3 linked regions of the Diceros bicornis minor genome follow. The protein of the gene in region 1 purifies or fractionates together with the protein of each later gene. This does not show direct contact. Links are inferred from orthologs where the notes say so. Each region holds a gene or a part of one and is shown on either strand. Other genes may lie near its edges.

The links. Proteins that work in one complex are often made in the same cells at the same time.
Region 2: the proteins of EXOC2 (region 1) and EXOC7 fractionate together in Homo sapiens (co-fractionation; 4 studies listed by BioGRID, with this or other methods). This does not show direct contact. The link is inferred for Diceros bicornis minor from reciprocal best matches to the Homo sapiens genes EXOC2 and EXOC7.
Region 3: the proteins of EXOC2 (region 1) and EXOC8 purify together in Homo sapiens (affinity purification with mass spectrometry; 7 studies listed by BioGRID and IntAct, counting the BioPlex papers as one, with this or other methods). This does not show direct contact. The link is inferred for Diceros bicornis minor from reciprocal best matches to the Homo sapiens genes EXOC2 and EXOC8.

The regions. Positions count from the first base shown.
Region 1 is NC_080753.1:65,647,672-65,654,688, forward strand, and holds the start of EXOC2 (exocyst complex component 2), read left to right. Parts: upstream 1-4,001; 5' UTR 4,002-4,079; intron 4,080-7,017. UniProt on the Homo sapiens protein: Component of the exocyst complex involved in the docking of exocytic vesicles with fusion sites on the plasma membrane.
Region 2 is NC_080757.1:56,465,840-56,473,593, reverse strand, and holds the start of EXOC7 (exocyst complex component 7), read left to right. Parts: upstream 1-4,753; 5' UTR 4,754-4,806; coding exon 4,807-4,866; intron 4,867-5,071; coding exon 5,072-5,137; intron 5,138-6,749; coding exon 6,750-6,934; intron 6,935-7,131; coding exon 7,132-7,237; intron 7,238-7,754. UniProt on the Homo sapiens protein: Component of the exocyst complex involved in the docking of exocytic vesicles with fusion sites on the plasma membrane.
Region 3 is NC_080745.1:24,862,794-24,870,102, forward strand, and holds the start of EXOC8 (exocyst complex component 8), read left to right. Parts: upstream 1-4,308; 5' UTR 4,309-4,566; coding exon 4,567-6,744; 3' UTR 6,745-7,309. Other genes in the region: DNA-dependent metalloprotease SPRTN, read right to left, coding at 2,591-2,690, 3,750-3,970. UniProt on the Homo sapiens protein: Component of the exocyst complex involved in the docking of exocytic vesicles with fusion sites on the plasma membrane.

The sequences.
Region 1 (7,017 bases):
TACCATGCAGTATGAAACACTCTAGGTGCTCATTTAATGTAAAAAATATATATACAAAGAACAGGGAACTGTGTCTGTCATAGTGTTTCCTAAGACTGAAACCAAAGGAATTTCATGCTTCATAGTTATTTTTTCTAAGTCAAAATAAATTTGATGCAGAATTGAAAACACAAAGCTGTATAACAATATTTAATTGACTCACCAGCTACTACTGTAATTTTAGGCTTAATGATTTTATTTGCTGCCAGCTTCTGTATATACTGCACTAACATTTGCTAACTGGCTTCAGAATACGGACCAGAAATTTAAGAAAAAAGAAAGAAAACACCATCAGTAATTTTTATATTAGTGAAAGGTTTTCTTTCCTCTTTTGAGTATTTTTGTTTCAGGGATACAATATTATTTGTCATTATTTTGATCCAGGAAAGATCTGTGTGTTCTCAAGAGCCATTCATACCAGCTTAATGGCAGGATCACCTAACTTGAGAAATGGTGTGTCACGCAGACCCAAAAGCGAGACAAGAAAAGGGTTTGGTTTCACAGTGAAGTGGGGTACCACTGCCAGGATACAGAAAACAATTTCCTTTCAACCTCTGCTGCCAGGTCTCTGACTCACGTTTCCTGTGTGTTTTAGAATGGATGACCCTAGGACAGTTGAGTTATTGCATGCTGGAGCGACTTTGACATGTCTTCTGATGTAAAGGAGAGAAAAATGAAGTCATGCTAAGTCCCACAACTCAAAGCATCTGTACAAAATATCATCTTCTTTTTCTCAGGATGTATTTCTCTAACAGGTGTGCAATTCAGCACATAAAGATATTTGAGTTGTAATAAGTATAGGCTGTTTTTGGTCTATAATAATGACTATTTAGGCTGGATTCCCCCAGAAGCTGACCCTGAGATATGGTTTCAAGGGCTAGTATCTAACTTGGGAGGTGATACCAGGAAACACCAGGAAGGGAGTGGGTATGCCAGGTGGGAAAGGGAAGGAAGCCAATAAAAGATGTGCTGTGAAGGCATTCCCGAGGGAGCTCTGAAAATACCCTGGATAACATGCCTCCGAACTACCCTGGGAACGGCAGCCCAATAGTTATACAACTATCTTTGGTTGAAGCCTACTTTTGGGCCGATGAACTTGCCAGTACTTCCAGCTTCCCCTGCATTGAGAAAGAAAGCCCTGAGGCACCGAGGGGCAGGTGTTCCCAGAAAGAAGCCTTCTGAGAGCAGAGGGCACAGCAGAGGAATATGGGTAGGCTCTGATGGCCTCTGCCACTGTCCATCCCTCGCATGCTGTGTTGTGTTCACGCTGTCCTGTCACTGACTCCTCACACTGATGTCCCATCACACTCACATCTGGAGCACTGATAGGTCGAGCTATGGGCTCCTGCTGCCGTTGGTCCTGAGGCCATTGTGATTCTCATAATCTTCTTCCTTTATCACCTATTCTAGATTCCCCTCACCCTTAACTAGCACTTCCGCTGGCCCAGGTTGCTTGCTTGAAGTGACCCAGACCTTCGTCCCTGTAGGATCTGAGCCTCTGGTTGCCATGCCCTTGTCAGGCCAGGGTTGCTGCATTGCGCATTTGCTGATATCACCAGGCATAGAAAAGATGCCCAGTGAGTGCCTTGAGGTCCAGAAATAATCCTCCCTGCTCCTATATCCTCCTGATCGTAAAGGTCAATTTTTTTGTTTCCTGTATGAGGATCCCAAACGAGGAGAGGGCTTTAGATATAGTGGAATCTTGTGTCCCCTGGCAAAGCATCCTCTCCTGCCATAGGAGCCAGGACTCTATTTGGACGCAGCACTGTACGCTGGTATTAGGTTCAAAATATATACTACATCCCATAGCACAGCAGCTCAATGCTGCAAAATGTTACCCCTAAGCTGGAGCCTTAGCTGTGCCTTTAAGAGGCCATTCTAATATTCTATCAGGGTGTCAGCTTCTGGGTGTGTGATGTATGTAGAACCATTGGCTCTTGTGGTATTGTCCCCTTTGTCATACCTCTTTCACTCTTAAAGGGGTCCCTGGTCCCAGGTGATACTATGGGAAATTCCATGATGATAAATCCGACCCTGTGTGAGCAATTGGATAGTGATGCTTGCCAGGGCCCTGCAGGCAGGGAAGACAAACCCAAACCCAAGATATGTAACTGGGTCTGAGGAAATCACCTTGCCACCAAGGAGCTGCCTGGTCTCCTCGAGGGAAGGTATCATACCTCTAGCTGCACATTGGCCTCTGCAGCTGGAGGGGGAACACACTGTCTAGATCTACCTTGTTAAGAGGGGTCCGTGCAGCTCCATCCCTGCCACCATGGCTACTCCATTCATAGGCCCATTGTACAAACCCTGGGCTGGCCCAGGACAGAGGCTGGTCAAATCATTCTGGTGCCCCTCTGCTGTGGATGCTGTCTGGTAGGCATTCATGTGAGACACACAGATTGGCCAAACACAAAGTTTGTGTAAGGTGTAAGTGTGAATTCCTGGGCTAAGAGATGGCAAGACCCCCCACCATGGTTGTGCCTCTGCTCCACAGCTACCCTCCTCTCCATTCAGCTGTAGCAGGTTACTCCAACAGGTCTCCTACCTTTGGGAATTTCTAGAAGGGAAGCAGGTAGCACACTCTTGATCACATACAGTCCCAGTGGTAGGCCAATTCTCCCAAGAACGGGACCCCCCATGCTCACCTCCACTCTGATGGCAGCAAGCACAGGCTCCTGCGTGTCTCAGGTCAGCAAGCACTAACCTGGCTTAGAGCCAACTGGGTGAGTCTCTTCTAAGCTTCGAAGAGGTGTCCGACCCCGGTTGTTTGGGGCTCTCTTTAAAATGTGGAGTGACTTTAGGGTTACTATATACTGTTGAAACAAGGACACTTGACCATGAAAGGGACACTCAATAATTAAGCCAGGATAACAGACAAAAACCAGGGTTATCTCACGCAGAGTGGGACATGTGGTCACCCTAGTTATCTGCCCCCTTTTCCAGTCTAAGTGGCCAATTCCAGGACAGCCAGAAAAATCCCTCTAAATATCCTGTCACTCAGCTTAAACTCCATGGTTCTCCATAATGTCATTTCTTTGCATAGACCCTCAAGTCCTTTGCTCCCTGCTCCTGCCTATCTCCAACCTAGGTTACAACTAATTTTCTGCTAACTCTCTATCTGCACTAGAGCAGCCAAAACATACACATGCTGACTGGTCCCATTTTAAACTTAGGACTACACATCCCAAGGGGACTTTCAGCTTTGCCTGGAAATCCTACCACATTTTCTTAGTAATTTTCTTCACAATATTCAGGATAAAGATTTCACCCTTTCTCCTTCCTCCTCACACCTCCCTTGCCCTGCATCCTCTGTTTTCATGGATGATCTTGCTGCTGCTTTCGCTAATAAAAGAGAAGTAACCAGAAGAGTATTTTCTCATCACTTTCCCCTGTCCCCACCTTTGTCCCCTTAGTGCAGACCACCATCATTTCTTGACAAGACTGCTGCAGTCGCTCCCTCAGTGCCATCTCTTTTCCTCTTGCCATGCCACGGTTTATCCTCAGCCCAGGGAGATCCTGACAGGAAGTGACTGCCTTTATTCGCCTGTGCGTCTCTAGCGCCCTGCACGGCGCCCAGCCGGTGGAGGTGCTCACTAAGTTTGCCGAACTGAAACGATCACACTCAGGGTTTCCAGGCTGTAGACTGGCATTCTCCTCCGCAACGTCCATGGTCCTGTGGCTTTGTGTGTCACCTAGCCTCCCAGGGCCTCGTTGGAGCCAGTGTCCTGACCCGCTGCAGCGTCCTGGCTCAGGGCAGGGCCCACCACAAAAGCAACGAGTGCCATCCTCCGGCGTCTCTGGCGGGACCCGACGTCGCGGGGCCGGAGGGTGCACACGGCACGCCCCCACCCCAGTGCGGAGCCCGCCCCGCCCCTCCGCGGAGGCTCGGCCATCGAGGACTCGGCGCTCGACTGCGCGGCGGATCGACGCCCTCGGCGCTCGCGGGGCGGAAGTGCGGCGCGGCGGTGGGGCGGCCGGCCGGGAGCGCTGGCGAGAGGGAGGCCTGGCGGCGCGGCCGGAGCGCGGCCAGCGGGCGGCAGGTACGTGTCGGAGCCCCGCGTACCGGCGCAGGGCCAGTCCGGGAGCGCGGGCCGGCAGGGCGGCGGGCGGCCTGCCGCGCGGGCGGTCGGAGGAGGCCCCGGCCCCGGCCCCGGCCTCTGCCGCTACCGGGCCGCCTGTGGGGAAGGGGCGGTCGCCACCCGCGCCGGCGGCACCCCCGGGTCTCCGCGTCCTGGCCGGGCGTTGCCCCGACGCTGACCCTCGGGGGTGGGCGTGCTGGCCTCCCCGGCCCCTCGCGCCCTGTGCGGCGGTCCCGTGTAAGGCTGAGGGTGGGGTCGTGAACAGCGGCGTGAGGCGGTTTCGCCTCGGTTGGGAGCTGTACCTGTCAGGTTCCTGACAGGAGCTGGTGCCTGTCACCGTTCTCAGCGTCTGCGTCCCCTGATTGACGTAATGCCCGAGAGAGTGGATGCTGACGTAGTGTCCCGTTTTACTGTTGGGGACACGGGAGCTCAGAGTGGTCAAGTGCTAGCCTGAGGTTGTATACTCCTCGGTGTTTGAGCTGCCCCTGGGACCATGCAGCGAGGCTCCAGAGCCTGCACACCCAGCCACTGTGTTCTCTCTCCTCTACGCCCGCTGGTGCTGAACTTGATACCCCAAGATTTTGCAAATAGACACTTTGTTAATTCCAAGAAACAGTTTTTGAAAGAGCTTGTCTTTAAATGGGAATAATCTACTTCTAATCGCTAAAGGTCAATCATACTAATAACTATGAGAAAATTTGTTTCTTTTTTTATGAATCTGAATAAACTTACAAGGAAACCGTTGAAAAATATTTTAAGAATCAGCCACACCTTAATTAAATCGTTTGGGGACACTGTATTGAAAAGCTAGTTCTAACTGAGGTTATGTGCATCCGTCTCCTAATGCATAATAATATTTTGTTTATAAATGTTAGTACATATATTCTGGCCAGACTTTGTGTAACTGACTCTAATGTCAAAGGAACTGAAAGCCAAAAGCTTCCCAGGGATCATCTGTGTGTTGAAAGTTGTTGACTCAAAGGGTGGTAATAGAAAGAGGATAATGTGTGCTTAGTACTCAAATGTTCTCTTCTGTTGGATTAAGTAGAAACTTAATAATTTTAAGCAGAGAAGCAGAGGATCCCCCAGAGTAAGTTGGAACAACTCTTGGAAGTTTCAGAAAGTATATATTTTTTCTTGTCAAGTGTTTAATATCCTGTACTGACTATCATTTTGAACTATATTACCTTTCTAAAAGATGGTTATTAACCTGCTGAGTTAAATTTTCATTCATTCCACAAATATTTGAGAGCCTGCTGTGTATGAATCTATGAGAAATGAAATTGGTACCCAAAAATTTTTGGCAAGACAGTCTTCTAATAAAGGACTTTGACAATTTTTGGTGTCAGGCACGGGCAGGATCAGGCCATATGGGAAATGTGGGTATGCAGTTCATCTCTCAATTTCTTTTTCACTCCTTCTCCAGTTTAGTCATCTTTGTCAGCCAGGAACCTAGTATAGCACCCGACACATAGTAGGAGCTTATTGAATGGATGAGTTTTAGGTCAGTAATGAGTAGAGAGAATTTTGAAATTGACTGGAGGAGAAATAACATTGATCACTCTGCAAAGCAGTAGTCTACAATGTTGATTGTTCTCAGACCCTGGGGAATATGTTCATGGCTCCCCTGGAGTGCCTGGTAAAATAGCATGGTAGTAGTGTTCCATTATAATCACATGATTCAGTGTGTTTATGTTAATTTAAAAGAATTATTATTGATACAAACACAAAGTAATTGTAGAGAAATTATGACTCTTGAAGCTGTGGACACACCCATAGGCATCCTTGGACTTCAGTTTGAAATTATGGATTCAAAAGGTATTTTGGTTTAGGAGTCAAAGCAAACATTTAGTGGTCCATGTGCTGCCACCCACCTGCTTCGTAGTGTGGGCTGTTACTTAGCTTCTTTGGGGTTCAGTTTCCTTTTTCCTGTAGTCAGAGAATACATAAAACTAGATTATCTCAAACAGTTCTTCTGGCTTTGAAATTTTCCAACTCAGTGAATCCTGTAACCACTTAGCACAGGGATAACCCTGTGTTGTCTTCAGGGCTATAGCTATTGCTGGTATTTACATATCTGTCAAAAGACTAAGCTCTTGCCAGACAGGGCTTAGTCTCAGTCATTTTTGTGTCTGCCAATTTTAGCATATGCCTGACACACACATTAGAAATAAAATAGTATTAGCCTGGATTCAGAAGGGGTGTTTTTGCCCTCTAGATTAAAGATTAAAGAATTGCTGAGAACTAAACTGTAGTATTGAGTGTAAGTACAGCAGGAGTTCAGAGAAGGGAAGGATCTGTTGGGGTTCGAGTTGTTGGGAAGGCTTCATGGAGGTCAGACCTTGATGGAGAGGATGTGGTCCTTTGGAGGGAGGGCATGTTAACATCTGGCGGCATACCAGGAACAAAGGCCACATTTTGGATTATGAAATGCCTTGAAGGTCAGGCACAGGAGTTTGGACTGATTTACTAGGCTTTTTTTTTTTTTTTCTGGAAAATTGTATTAGGCTTGCTCAAAAGCTTCATGAGTATTCTTTAACTTAATGTTGTTGGTAGCATTTAAGACTGGGGTGGATCATACAGTTGGCTTTATTTTTGGTTTTGGCTTTAGTAATTCCTTGTACTTACTATTTCCCACTTAAAATAAATCTTGGTGCCAATAATGGAAAGAACAGTGGACACTGAAATTTGGGAAGCCTGGATTTTAGTTAATTAGAATGTAGTTGCACCAGGTGGATCCAGGCAGGCCTTCACGTGGCGCCTGGCACAGTTAGCCTTCGGTGCTCCTTGGGCAGCGCCGAAGGACTGCTCTCCTTGCTTCCTGCTAGCTGTGCTGCTTTTGGCAAGGTTGGCACCTAGTTTCATCTGTAAGCTTTGATGAATTTTTAAAGTCCTTTTC
Region 2 (7,754 bases), on another chromosome or scaffold:
GTTTTTTTTTTCTTGATTAGGCTGACTAGATCAATTTTATTGATGTATTTAAGAACCAACTCTCATTTCCTTGATTTTTCTCTGGTAATTTCCTGTCTCCAATTTCATTGATTTCTGCTCGAATTTTTATTGTTTCTTTTCTTCTGCTTATTTTGGATTTAATTTGCTTTTCCTTTTTCTAGTTTCCTAAGGTGAAAGCTTAGATTACTGATTTTATTTTATTTTATTTTTTATTTATTTATCTTTCCCCCCAAAGCCCCAGTAGATAGTTGTACATCATAGCTGCACATCCTTCCAGCTGCTGTATGTGGGATGCGGCCTCAGCATGGCCGAGATCTGAACCCGGGCTGCCAGCAGCGGAGCTCGCGCACTTAACCGCTAAGCCACGGGGCCGCCCCTTAGATTACTGATTTTAGATCTTTCTTTTCTAATGTATCCATTCAATGTTATTATTCCCTCTAAGCACTGTTTTCACTGTATCACACAAATTTTGATAAGTTGTAGTTTTTTCCTTTTCATTTAGTGCAAGATTAAACATGAAATGCCATATTTCATCTATCAAATTGGCAAAAATGTTAGAGTTTGATAATACTTAGTGTAGGTGAAGGTGTGGGGAAATACGCATATTTATACATTGGTATTGGAAGTATAGACTAGTTCAGCCATTTTAGATGGCGATTTGTACATATCTACAAAAATTTAAAGGGATATATGTTTTGATTTAGCAATTCCACTCTCAGAACGTATAGTGGAATTGCTTAATCAAAAAATGGTCATGTATTGGCCATGTATGTATAGGGAGCAGAGTCTGCAATAGTAAAAAACCTGGAAACAACCCAAATGCCCATCAATAGAGGACTGCTTCACTATGTTATATGTATTCAATGAAGTACTATGGAAAGAATGGAGTATGCCTCTACACACTAATATAGAAAGATGATCAAGATATACTGTTACGTGAACAAGCAGGCTACAGGAATAGTATGTTTAATGTGATAGCATTTGTGGTGTTTTTTTTTTAAGATTTGTTCTATGTATAATATGCTTGGACTTGTATGAATGCATCTGGAAAGTCACAACTGTGGTTACTTCTGGGACAGAGGTGCTTGGGGGTCAAGGAGAAGGAAGGCACCTTTTGTTTTTCACTTTACACTTTCTTTACAGTTTGAAGTTTTAACCTTGAATAGGTATTATATTTAATTTGAAAAATAGTAGTTTTTTTCTTTCTTTCTTTTTTTTTTTTTTGAGGAAGATCGGCCCTGAGCTAACATCTGCCAATCCTCCTCTTGTTTTTTGCTGAGGAAGACTGGCCCTGGGCTAACATCCATGCCCATCTTCCTCCACTTTATATGGGAAGCCACCACAGCATGGCTTGCCAGGCGGTGCGTCAGTGCGCGCCCGGGATCTGAACAGACAAACCTTAACTGCTTGCGCCACCGGGCCAGCCCAGAAAAATAGTTTTAAAACCAAATTGCACATTTGAGCCCACAAGTGGCTCAAAGCACACTAAACATGTCCTTTGCTCTGGCTTCCTTATGAGAAAGGTTGCCCACCCCTGGGCTCTGGACACCCTGGTCCTTTCTCTCATTTTATATTAAGAGGATTTAAGGGGGAAAAAAAAAAAACCCTCCTGACTACTATGCCAGATGGCACTGTTGCTGGCTGGTGGTTTTTTGTTTTTTTGTGTATGAGGAAGATCAGCCCTGAGCTAACATCCGTGCTAATCCTTCTCTTTTTTGCTGAGGAAGACCGGCTGTGAGCTAACATCTATTGCCAATCCTCCTCCTTTCTTTTCCCCCCAAAGCCCCCGTAGGTAGTTGTATGTATGTCATAGTTGCACATCCTTCTCGTTGCTGTATGTGGGACGTGGCCTCAGCATGGCCGGAGAAGCGGTGCGTCGGTGCGCGCCCGGGATCCGAACCCGGGCCGCCAGTAGCGGAGCGCGCACACTTAACCGCTAAGCCACGGGGCCGGCCCCTGGCTGATGGTTTCTAAATGAGGAAAATATACTATTTTTAATCATTACAGAAAAAAGGAAAATTACTTTTCCTAGAAGTGTTTTAATAAAAAGGTAATTTAAACTCACCATCTTTAGAAACTAGAAAAACAGAATCATCCATTTACTCTACTTACCATTTTAGTATTTTTCCTGAAGTCTTTTTTGCAATGTATCTATCATATTTCGAATGGCTGGAATCCCAGGGAACATACACTATTGTGATCTGTTTTTGTGATGTCATACCATACGCATTTTCAGCGTTGATGCAGGGCCAGGAAACGTTAATTTGGAGGAATTATACATCTGATTCCTCAGAAAGAGCACGAAGTCTGGAATTAGGAAGTTACTAAACTAAAGAGCATGCTGTTGGGGGAGGGGGCGCTTCCCCCCCCCCCCCCGTCCCTCCTTCTGGAAAGAGAATCTCTGCGAGTGGGCAGTGGGGGGCTTGGCTATGATTGGTACCTTTGTGTTCTGCACAAGTTTGCGAAGGAAAGCCACGATTTCTGAGGCTGCAATTGAAACACCACTTGCTCCTTTTGCTAAAGCAACTTGTGCTGAGTATAGCTGGGGAATTACAGCTTTTACTGAATTGATGTCTACTTGTCAACACATGTCCGATATTGGGTTGAGAATAATTTAAACTCATCTTTTCGTTTTGTCTACTTTTTACTAGATATGATTTCCATAAACATGACCTGCTTTTCACAATGGATTTTCTGGAAAATCAGATTGGCGGCTTTGCATAACAACGAACAAAACACCTGAGCTACCCAGCATAGGAGGCAGAGAACAGCCTCAGCTGTACCCTCTCCCTGGCCAGCTGTGTTGACTTAGTGCAGCTGACCTCTCTGAACATGAGCTTCCTCATCTGCAGAAGGGAGACGACAGCTGTGCCTGGACTCGTAGGTTTATTGTGAGGATTAGACAAGATAACACGAGGTTGGTGTTTGTAACAGAGATGGGCAAACAAAAAGCTCTCAGTACATGGTAGCTGGTGACCAAATTACACTTAGATGGTAAAGGAAATTTGAGGAAATACAAAATAAAGCACACACATATAAAGTTTATTTACAAAAATGCAATGATATTGTACAAAGTATGTGTTTGTTCACAATCATAGAGAATTCCCTACCTGAGACCTATAGAGCAAGATGTTATCCATATTTTTCTTGAGCATCTATTATGGGCTAGGTGCTGTTCAGAGAGGTTAAGTGCTGAATGAGGCTCTCCAGGCTGGTCCATCTGAGTCCAAAACCCTTTCCACCGTAGCCCTCTAGGCCACTCCTTCTGTACTGTGGCATCTAACAGTTCAAACTTTTCCCTTCACTTAGGATTCCACAAGGACCACCTCAGCGAAATCGTCCTAGATATCCTTACACAATGATTCTGTTTTTTTATCTCCTCCATATGCAGCAGAGCTCTGACTCCTGGATATTTCCTTCATCACCACGTTCACAGCCACTGAAATCAGATCACTAGATCTGAAATTGTCCTCCTGCCCCAGCAGAAAGCTGCCCAATCCCCTCTCCAGGCTCTCTGTCCCATTTCTTCCTTCTCTTTGAGGAGCTGGGTCCTGGGGGGGCCTTGGTGCCCCCAAACCTTTTCACCCACCAGCACAGGCCTCATTGTCTACCTTCCTGTTCCTGGATGTGGGATCCACAGAGGGACTGAAGAAAGCAGCGCAGCCATTTACTTCTCCAAGGACTGGGGCTGGGGCCAGAGGCAGGGTGGGCAGGGAGGGGATGGAGGAAAGACTAACACTAGGTTTTGCAGGAGCTGGGTCCTGTAGTGAATCCAGAACATCCAGCTCTGCAGGAGCCTGATCCAGGGGCATCTCCCATCCCCTCCCCTGGAGCTGTGGTTAGAGGAGACTCGGGGCAGAGGAGTTAGGATGTTTGAGAGCTCTGGAGAAGGGACCCTGCCAACCCTCCTAGCCTCTCTGATTTCCCCAAAGCCCTTGCAAGAAATCCTCCCTCTGTGTCTGAATAAGTGCAGGCAGGCCTCAATCTCTCCTTAACTAGGGGACAACACCAGCTGGGCCCCAATCCTTCCGACAGGTCGAGGATCTTCCGGCCTTCCCCTTGCACCGTTTCCAGATCTAGGTAAGTTCCCAGCAGAAGCCACCTGGTTCTCACCCCAACAAATAAAACCATACAGGGATGGATGCTCCCAGAACTCCGCCAGCCCCAGGAGCTTGGCTGGGCCCCACACAAGTCAGGATTATGGTTATGGAGGCCACCGGGGCCACAGGAGACCGCTCTGTCCCTTGCCTCCAGCCCAGGGCTTGCACACAGGGCCCGCTCCATAAGCTCTCGCGTAACGTAGGGCCGGAAGGGGAAAAGCCTACACAAGCCCCTGGCTCATTAAATGGTCACACATTAGGCGCCTACTGTATGACACGCTCTGTGAGGACCGCGACCTCTGTGCTTAGACCCAGAATGACATCTGGAGAAACGAATTCATCAGCGACCTTTATCAAAAGAGTCAGCCTTCCAACGAAGACAGCAAGTGAGCTGTAACAGTCCTGCCAGCTGCGGAATATAACACAGCTCCAGTCTTCTCTCATGACGCAAGGAACCCGCACGGAGCTGAAACCTGGTCTCACTTCCCAGCCACACCCAAGATGGCCACCTGCCCAGGCCCGTTACTGAGGTCCGCTCAGGCGCGCTTCCTCCTGCCACTCCCAACATGGCACCACGGGCGCGCCCGGGGCGGGGCCAAGGGCGGAAGTGGGTGTGACAGGGACGGGAGCCCAGAGGGCACACTAAGACAAGGTACTGGGGAGTGGGAGCCGCAGGGTCGAAGCGATGATCCCCCCGCAGGAGGCGTCCGCCCGTCGCCGAGAAATAGAGGACAAACTGAAGCAGGTGGGACTGGGGCTGGGGAGGCGGAAGAAGAGGAGAGGGAAGAGCCGAGATCTGGGCCTCGGGCATCTACTCAGGGAGGAGGCGGTGGTGGGAGGGGGCGCTCCCTGCGAGGAGATGGGGTTGGGGGCGAGGCTGTGGGGCCCGGACGCGGTGATCTCCTTTAGCCTCAGGCTTCTGGTGATGTCCTCCCGTCCGCTTCCCCCAGGAGGAGGAGACACTGTCCTTCATCCGAGACAGCCTGGAGAAGAGTGACCAGCTCACAAAGAACATGGTGAGTAACCCCTCAGGTGGGAGGGGCAGACAGGCCTCCATACCCTGGAAGAGAGCCCTGCGATCCGGTGGTTCTGATACATCAGGCCTGGGGGTTCTGGCCTGGGGAGTGGTGGTGGTAAAGTGTGGGTTTCTCTAGCAACAGTGTGGCATCTCTCTTACCCAGCTCCCTTCCCCTTTGTCCGCCCCTTCACTGAGGATGCTGCAGCCCCTGCTGGCCTGGACTTTCTGCTTTCTAAGTTCTCCATTCTTCCTTCTCTCCTTCCGCAGATATTCAGGGAGACTGACTTAGGTGGGCTGGCTACTGGTCATGTGTCATCAATTCAAATGACGGTAGGACAGCAGGGTTAGCACTTCTGAGATTACTAAGGGCAGAGAAGACTAAGCCTTCACCCCAGAGGGCTTTAAGGGTAGAACGAGACAGACCTGGGATCTGGTCCTCGCCTCTCCACTTACTGTGGCTCCTGGCAGATGACTCGGAGCCTCAGTTAACTCATCTGCTAAAATAGAGACAATGTAGCTATGAAGGTCATAGAAACGAATGCATGGGAATGCATCTTACATGGTACCTGGTATACAGTAGGTACGCAATAAATATGAGTTTCCTTCCTTATTCCTAGAGGAGACTGGAAAAGCACAAATTGAGTAGATACAAACTTGGATATGTATTTAGTAACACAACCGTAAAGTCCTGTGTAACCACGGGCCTACTAGGACCAGTTCAGCTGACCCCATCTCATCAACAGAGTAATTAAGAGTTGTCTTTCAGGAACTGAGAGTTCCCCCTTGTCCAGTTCAGGCTGGTTAAGACCACCAGCCCATCAACTGGGCCTGCGCAAATGCCCAATAAGTGACCCTGTTGATGTCAAAGGGCTGAAAACTCACCCTCAGATCATACTATCACCACCATTTTGTGAACATGCATCCTATGAAGAGCCGTGAAGCTTGACTACGCTTGCACAGATCATCAGTTACCTCACTTCTCTTTACCTCCAATCATCTATCTCCACACTTCAGACCACATGCTCTTCATCTCATAAATTTTGCCCCAAGTCCTGGATGGAGGAGAAAGATCTGAGAACGTACGCCTCTTGTCTCCTTGCAGATCGATCCATCAATAAAGCTTTTTTCTTTTCCCAAAAGCTGATGCCATAATAGTTGGCTTTTTTTATGTGCATCGGGTAGGAGGACCCCAGTTTTGTGCAGTAACATAAGTCCTTGTTTAATGAAATTCACCCTTAGAGAGAGTTTTGAAAGTACCAGAAATGCATTCGAGGCTACTCAGTATGAAACAACTTCCTGTTCAGTCTAGGAAAGCTTCAGAGAGAACAGAAATTGAGATTTGGCTTCACAGCGTGGAAGGGAAGTCATCCTGTGGTGATTATCTTAGGAGGAGTTAATTTAATGCTTAGCTTGCCTTCAAATCAAATTTCAACCAATTTACTTGGACTACCTCCTATGTGCCAGGCACATGGTAGGTGCTGGGGACTCAATGGTGAACAGGTACACCCTGTCCCTTTTGTCATGGAACTTATTGTCTAGAAAACCAGAGAAAAAGCAGAAGCAGTGCTGGGCCACCCTGAGGCCTGAGAGCACGGTGCATCCCCCTACAGGTATCTATCCTGTCGTCCTTTGAGAGCCGCCTTATGAAGCTGGAGAACTCCATCATCCCTGTGCACAAGCAGACAGAAAACCTGCAGCGACTGCAGGAGAATGTTGAGAAGACTCTGTCCTGCTTGGACCATGTCATCAGTTACTACCATGTGGCCAGTGACACTGAGAAGATCATCAGGGAGGGGTGAGCCAGGGCCAGAGGGTCACATTCCTAATGCCTCCTGGACCAGCGACCCTAGGCCTTAGAAGGGAGAGGTAGAATATATTTGAGCCTGGAGTCCCCTGTGTTAATTCTCTTCTTCCCCTTCTAAATACCATTCCCGTGGTCTTTCCTCTTCATCTTCCATCCACCCAGGCTGATACAGCTCTTTTCCTTCCCAGCCCCACAGGCAGGCTGGAAGAGTACCTGGGAAGTATGGCCAAGATTCAGAAGGCTGTGGAGTATTTCCAGGACAACAGCCCAGACAGCCCAGAGCTCAACAAAGTGGTAAGGGGCCAGCACAGTGGTGTGACAGGTTTAGGAACACCAGTCCCTGCCCTGGTCTCATGAGGGAAACTGAACCAGCTTAAAGGAGAATATCGTAGAATAAACAGAACTATATGGAGTCAGCCCTGATGGCCTAGTGGTTAAAGTTCGGCGTGCTCCGCTTTGGTGGCCCAGATTTGGTTCCCAGGTGCGGAACCACGCTGCTCCTCTGTCAGTAGCCATGCTGTGGCGGCAGCTCACACAGAAGAACTAGAGGGACTTACAACTAGAGTATACAACTATGCACTGGGGCTTTGGGGAGGAGAAAAAAAAGAGAGAGGAAGATTGGCGACAGATGTTAGCTCAGGGTGAATCTTTCCAAAAAAAAAAAAAACAGAACTATATAATACAATACACATACTGTAGGTGTTAAGACCTCTGCCCAAGGAATTACAGATATACATTTTTATTACATTTTTATAATTTAAATTATAAATTACATATAAGATATAAATTTAACATTTGATTTTTATAAATG
Region 3 (7,309 bases), on another chromosome or scaffold:
ATTTTTTTAAAAAAGAGTTTCCATCAGAAGAACTAGACCTGGCATTAATGAATTTTAGTCTTATAAAATTATGCTGAACAGAAAAATGGGAGAATCAGACATTTTAACTTGGTCATTATGAAAACATCCCTTTTAAAATTATCAACTCTATCTCTGAAAATGAACTTTATTTTTTCAAGTAAATGCCACTCTACTGAGGCTCAAATTCAAAGGCCATTCTATACTTCAAACACTTCTCAACATTCTAAAATAATTATAAATAACTATTTTTCTAAAAGAGAAACAAATTTAGGTTTCTGATTTTTGGTTCAATTTAAACACATCTTGAAAATGATACATGGCACCATACTGATCATTTCTATTTTTATATACTGTATCTACTATTTTCCACATTTAGGCTAGATTCAAGGCTCTACATAACACAGTCCCAAAACACCTTTATTTCCCACCACTGTTCTGTATCTGGCCAAAAGCAACTACTTCTGATTCTCAATATGCCACAAGTTTAATGGCCTCATTTTTTTTCATAACATTCCCATTCCTTCTGCCAAGAGTAGTCTCCCCTACTATCTCTACTCGTCAGAATCCAATCTGTCCTATAAGGCTCACCTCCATGTTTTAATTAGCAGTGGTGATAGTTACAAGGCAGTAGTGATGAGGCCAAGTGGTACAGGGGACAGGACAAGAGCTTTAGAGCCAGGGAAACTAGAGTCTAAGCCAAGGATCTGTTATTTATTGTGCCTGAGACCTTGCACAAGTTACAACTTGTTCCTCATCCCTAAAATGGGGATATCCTAATCTTGCAGGGTTGTGGTAAAGCATACTCTAGATTAACTATATTAACACTAGTTAATCTAGTCCAAAGTCTGGCACACAACAGGTGCTCAATAGTGAGTGAGTGGTAGGAGTGGTGATAGTAGTAGTAATAAACTCTGCATGTATGAAGCTTTTCTTGACCTCCTCAACCAGATAGAGTTCTTTCCTTCTCTGAACCTATTCATTATAATTTAGGTAGCTACTTTAAATACAGACCAGGGTCCCACTGTTCCTCCTGTGTCCTTCTTACCCGATTTGATACTGTAACTTTCCACCCACAGCAAATGCTCAGCTGATACCATTACCACACATTTCCCATTCTCTTCTCACCCATTATCTTTTAAACAAAATTTGTTCATATGTTTATTTAATCATTTATGCAATAAATATTCATTAAGCCACTATTATTCCAATTAGGGCTCCTTGTCAGGTTGATTTGGTTAATCATGTTGTTCGATTTTTTTTGTTTTACGTCTACTATTTTTTTTCTGCTTATTCATTGAGTTACCAAGAGACTTATAACATCCGCAACTCTGACTGTGGATTATTTCTCTTTTTGCTTCTGCTAATTTATGCTTCGTTTGCTTAAAGCTATGTAATTACTTTTAGGCTTGTTATGTTTTTATTTAATAGAATATTTTATCACTATAAAATATCTCCCCTTTTTTCCAAGTAAAACTTCTTCCTTTAAAATCTTTAGTCTAATACTAATATAGCCACAACAACTTTCTATTTACTTTTTTCCATCCTTTTACACTTAACATATGTGTGTCTATTTTAAGTATGTCTCTTTTAATCTAGTGTGTCATTTCATGTCTTTAACTGGAGTGTTTAGTCCATTTACATTTAATATAATTATTGATATTGTGCTTATGCCTACCTTTCTCTTTATCCAGGCTTTGTTCCTTTATTCCTCTTTCCTTTTTTATTAATCAAGTATTTCTGTTGTACTATTTTACATTTATTAGCTATTTACTTTCTTAAAAATTGTGGTAAAAAACACATTACATAAAATTTACATCTTAACTATTTTTAAGTGTACAGTTCAATAATGTTAAGTACATTCATACTGCTGTGAAACTCATTACCTTTTATTATCCTTAAAAACAGCATCCCTCATATTTCCAAGCATGTTTTAACATATTTCCCATCCAATGTCTACCACCCTATGCTCTTTTGTGCATACAAAGTGATATAACTGGGGCAAGACAAGTCACACTGGGTGCATCCTGGAGAATTTCAGGCATCTGTTAGACTCAACTAACCATAATCTAAGAGTTCCCACTGTTCCATTTTGCTAGCAGGAGTGACCACTAGCTCCAGATAGGAAGTGTGCCCTCACGCTGGTTTGTTCTGCCAGCTGGGCTAGATGTCCTGGGAGGGCAGGACCATGGTGGTTGAATAAAGGAGAGTCAAAATTTGTGTCTTAATAGGAAGATCTGAATCCTAAGTTTTTCTCTGCTTCTAAATATGTAACTTAAACCAGTTACTTAATCTCTCTGAATCTTAATTTCCTTTTATAAAAATGAGGATAACACACAATGAACATAAACAGGGTTGTTGTAAAGATCAATTTAGATAATATACATGAAAGCCTTTAACTTTGAAGCACTATAAAAATAGAAGGTAATCATTATTATCTGCCCCACAAAGTTTGCAATGAGGGAAAACTAGTTTCCTTTTTTGACACGTACAGGTTAATTCACAGGAGTCTAAATCAATAATAAGCATTTCTAAGTTACTGAATTAAGAATCAAGTTTATGCAAAGAATACCTCTACAAGATCCTTCCTCGGTCTCAACTTTAAAAGGGGTTCACTGAGACGGATGGAACACATTCCACCCCTCCCTTCATAGCTGCATATCCCAGCACACCTGGAAAACAACCACCACAAAAGCATGATTTACCAAATACATACAAAAGGGAAATAGAGAGGAAAGAGCAAACCCATATACATTCTTGGGCAGTTCACACTGAGAACTCTACGGCAGATGGCTTTCTTAAAAGTATACCCTCTTCCCTGGGAGATATTTGCATTTCACCCCAGTTATGGACATATGTGAACAGTAGTGGCTTCCCTTACCCTAACCAGGCTGCAACAGCTCAAAGAAGATAATCCTATTCTGCTGCTCCCAGTCTCCTCCCTACAAACTATAATCAGTTTGTGGCAGTAACAGCCAGATCTCCATTAGCACATCTCAAAATTATAATACAAGCCTATGTGAAGAAAACGTGCACTTTAAACACAATTTTATATGATATCTTAATCTGTTTTATTTTAGGTTGTTTTGTATCACTTCAAAAACAAGCACGGTAATATACAACCGCATCTTAAACTTGTTAACTCCGTTCCTGTACAGGACTCGATTATTTCAAATCGAGATTTCTCAAATTTAGCGTGTAGGAAAGGAATCCTTTTAGAGGCATCCCCGAAGACCCCTTAGGTCCAGAAATACGGAAACGTCAAGCCCTTGCCCACTCTAACACACGAGCTCACTACTAAGCGGTGCGATCCTAATGAGCATAGAAGAGGACAACACGCCTCTGGAGGTTTCACTGCGTCCTCAGCATTCCAGACTCTGGTTGCTTCTCCTTCCTGGCTCCTAAAACACTACAGTAAATCAAATCAGAAATGTGTTAATTTATTTTCAAGTGAGGTGAGATTCAAAGAAACATCCTCTTCTCTCATTGTGTCCCCTATAAGTCAAACCGTAGCGAGGTGGGCCACACAGCTTTCTTAAAGTTGTCTGGGTGGGAAAGAGAGATAGGGTAGGAAAGGGAGAAATACACGGAGAGGAGGTGCCTGGTCCAAAACCAGACGCCCTCGTTTAACGGCCCCTGGGCCGTCGAGGCGGAGAAGAAGAGAAGCCCAGGGCCAGGGGCTGAGGAAGGGCAGCCAGCCGCCTCTTTTCCCCAACGGGCTCGGGACTCACAGGGTCATTCGCATGCTCCACTTCACCTCGACGGCCTCCAGTTGGCCCCAGAAGAACCGGTCGTTGAACTGCACAAACAGGGCCTGCAAATCCGGGGTGGGGTCCACCAACTCCCAGGACGCGTCCACCAGTGACAAGGGCTCCTGGGCTTGATCGCACTCCGAGACCTCCAAGTTCCACTCCTCCTGAAGCCGTAGTGCCAAAACCAGGTCCTCATCCATCGCTGCCAGGATCCCAGCGAGGTCCGCCGGCTCAGAAACCCAAGGGCCGGGTGGAGCTCCTGGGAGATACCGGCTCTCGGGTCAGCCCGCCGATGTCGCGAGAACTCAGGAAAACTGGCGCGAGAACGAGAACTCAGCTTGCCCCCAAGGCCGACACCAGGATTCTGGGGCTTAAAAAAAAGAAGTCAGCGTGACACCTCCTAGTGGGCTCGAAACTGGGATTCCCAGGGCTTGGGCGAGAGGAAGGTTTCACTAAGCTGGTTATCGCCTTTACGCTTCGCCGGTAACTTCAAACACCAACGCCACGCTCGGCCCATGCGCACTACCTACGTCTCTTTGCCTTTCCCTCTACTCACTTCCGCAATACTCCCCCGGCGCACGCGCTCTAGGCCAATGGCGTTCCTGCGCAGACGCATTGTCTGCGCCCGGCCCCTCGCGCAGGCGCAGTGTCTAACGCTCAGACTCGAGCGCAGGCGTACTTGTCTGTCTCCCATCTGTTCCTCAGCCCTGGAGCTCGGCGGGGTTTGGGTGGGTCTCGACAGCGGCGGCACCGTCAGCAGCGATAGTGACAGTGACTGCGTGGGGCCCGGACGGAAATGGCGATGGCGATGTCGGACAGTGGGGCGAGCCGCCTGCGGCGACAGCTGGAGTCGGGGGGCTTTGAGGCGCGGCTGTACGTGAAGCAGCTCTCGCAGCAGTCGGACGGGGACCGGGACCTGCAGGAGCACCGGCAGCGCATCCAGGCGCTGGCGGAGGAGACGGCGCAGAACCTGAAGCGCAACGTCTACCAGAACTACCGGCAGTTCATCGAGACGGCCCGCGAGATCTCCTACCTGGAGAGCGAGATGTATCAGCTCAGCCACCTGCTGACGGAGCAGAAGAGCAGCCTGGAGAGCATCCCGCTCACCCTGCTGCCAGCTGCCGCCGCCGCTGGGGCCGCCGCGGCCTCCGGAGGGGAGGAGGCAGGGGGCGGCCCGGCCGGCCGAGACCACTTCCGCGGCCAGGCTAGCTTCTTTCCCACCCCCGGGGGCGCCTCCCGCGACAGCTCCGGGTCGGGCGAGGAAGGAAAGCAGCGCACTCTCACCACTCTGCTGGAGAAGGTGGAAGGCTGCAGGCACCTGCTAGAGACGCCGGGACAGTACCTGGTGTACAACGGGGACTTGGTGGAATACGACGCGGACCACATGGCCCAAGTGCAGCGGGTGCACGGCTTTCTCATGAACGACTGTTTGCTGGTGGCCACCTGGCTGCCACAGCGGCGGGGGATGTATCGCTACGACGCTCTCTATCCTCTAGATGGTTTGGCTGTGGTCAATGTCAAGGACAACCCGCCCATGAAGGACATGTTCAAGCTGCTGATGTTTCCCGAGAGCCGTATTTTTCAGGCAGAAAATGCTAAAATTAAACGGGAGTGGCTGGAAGTGCTGGAGGAAACGAAGAGGGCCCTCGGTGAAAAGAGACGAAGGGAGCAGGAGGAGGCAGCGGCCCCTCGAGGGCCACCCCAAGTGACTTCCAAGGCCAGTAACCCATTTGAGGATGAAGACGACGACGAACCAGCTATTCCTGAGGTAGAGGAAGAGAAGGTGGACCTCTCAATGGAATGGATCCAGGAGTTGCCTGAAGACCTGGATGTTTGTATTGCCCAGAGGGACTTTGAAGGGGCCGTTGACCTGCTGGATAAATTGAACCATTACCTGGAAGATAAGCCCAGTCCACCTCCTGTAAAAGAACTAAGGGCCAAAGTGGATGAGCGTGTCCGACAGCTCACTGAGGTGTTGGTTTTTGAACTCTCCCCAGATCGTTCCCTGAGAGGTGGTCCCAAGGCTACTCGCAGGGCAGTTTCTCAACTAATCCGGCTTGGCCAGTGCACGAAGGCTTGTGAGCTCTTCTTGAGAAACAGGGCAGCAGCTGTGCACACTGCCATCCGTCAGCTTCGCATTGAAGGTGCCACTTTACTGTACATTCATAAGCTATGCCATGTCTTCTTTACCAGCCTTCTTGAGACTGCAAGGGAATTTGAGACAGATTTTTCAGGCACTGACAGCGGCTGCTACTCTGCCTTTGTGGTCTGGGCGAGATCAGCCATGGGCATGTTTGTGGATGCTTTTAGCAAGCAGGTGTTTGACAGTAAGGAGAGCCTCTCTACAGCAGCCGAGTGTGTAAAAGTGGCAAAGGAGCATTGTCAGCAACTGGGTGACATCGGACTAGACCTTACCTTCATCATCCACGCCCTTCTGGTGAAAGACATCCAAGGTGCCTTGCACAGTTACAAAGAGATCATAATTGAAGCCACTAAACATCGCAACTCGGAGGAGATGTGGAGGAGGATGAACTTGATGACTCCAGAGGCCCTGGGTAAACTCAAAGAGGAGATGAAGAGTTGTGGGGTGAGTAACTTCGAGCAGTACACAGGGGATGACTGCTGGGTGAACCTCAGTTACACAGTGGTGGCCTTTACCAAGCAGACCATGGGCTTCTTGGAAGAAGCACTGAAGCTGTATTTCCCAGAGCTGCACATGGTACTTTTGGAGAGCCTGGTGGAAATCATTTTGGTTGCTGTTCAGCATGTGGATTATAGTCTTCGGTGTGAGCAGGATCCAGAGAAGAAGGCCTTTATCAGACAGAATGCATCCTTCCTATATGAAACAGTCCTCCCTGTGGTGGAGAAAAGGTTTGAAGAAGGTGTGGGGAAACCCGCCAAGCAACTCCAGGACCTGAGGAATGCATCTAGACTTATTCGTGTGAATCCTGAAAGTACAACGTCAGTGGTCTGATGCTTGGGTCTGTTTATATGTATACGTATATGTTGCTTATATATTATTTATATTTATATTAAGTTGTATTAGCATATTCTTTATAGTCTCAAACACAGCTTAAAAATAAAAGATGCCCTCTCAGTTAGAAATGCAAAATCAAAAGGAGAAAGAAAAAGATGTTAAATTAACCCTAAATAACAATAACATTGGAATTAGTAAAATATATAATATGCTTTTCTTTTAAATCATGCTCATTCTCTAATGAATATATTATCACATTACAGCATTTCAGCTTATCCTTTGAGTCAAAACACACTTTCTCACAGTATATATTATGCAGCAGAGAAAAATAATATCTATAAATACATAGAGTTTAAGTATGTTGTGAAACGTTTCCTAGTTCACTAAAATGTTAGGTTTCTTAAAGGAGACAATGCCGTATAAAACACCCTGCTTTATATACTTCCTTAAAATGCTTAATATACTTCACCTTAAAATGTGATTGAACAATTTGGGGACAAGGAAGGAGGAGTTGAGAAAATTGGTTTTAGGGTAAATTTCAGTCAACAGAATTGCTTCTTGA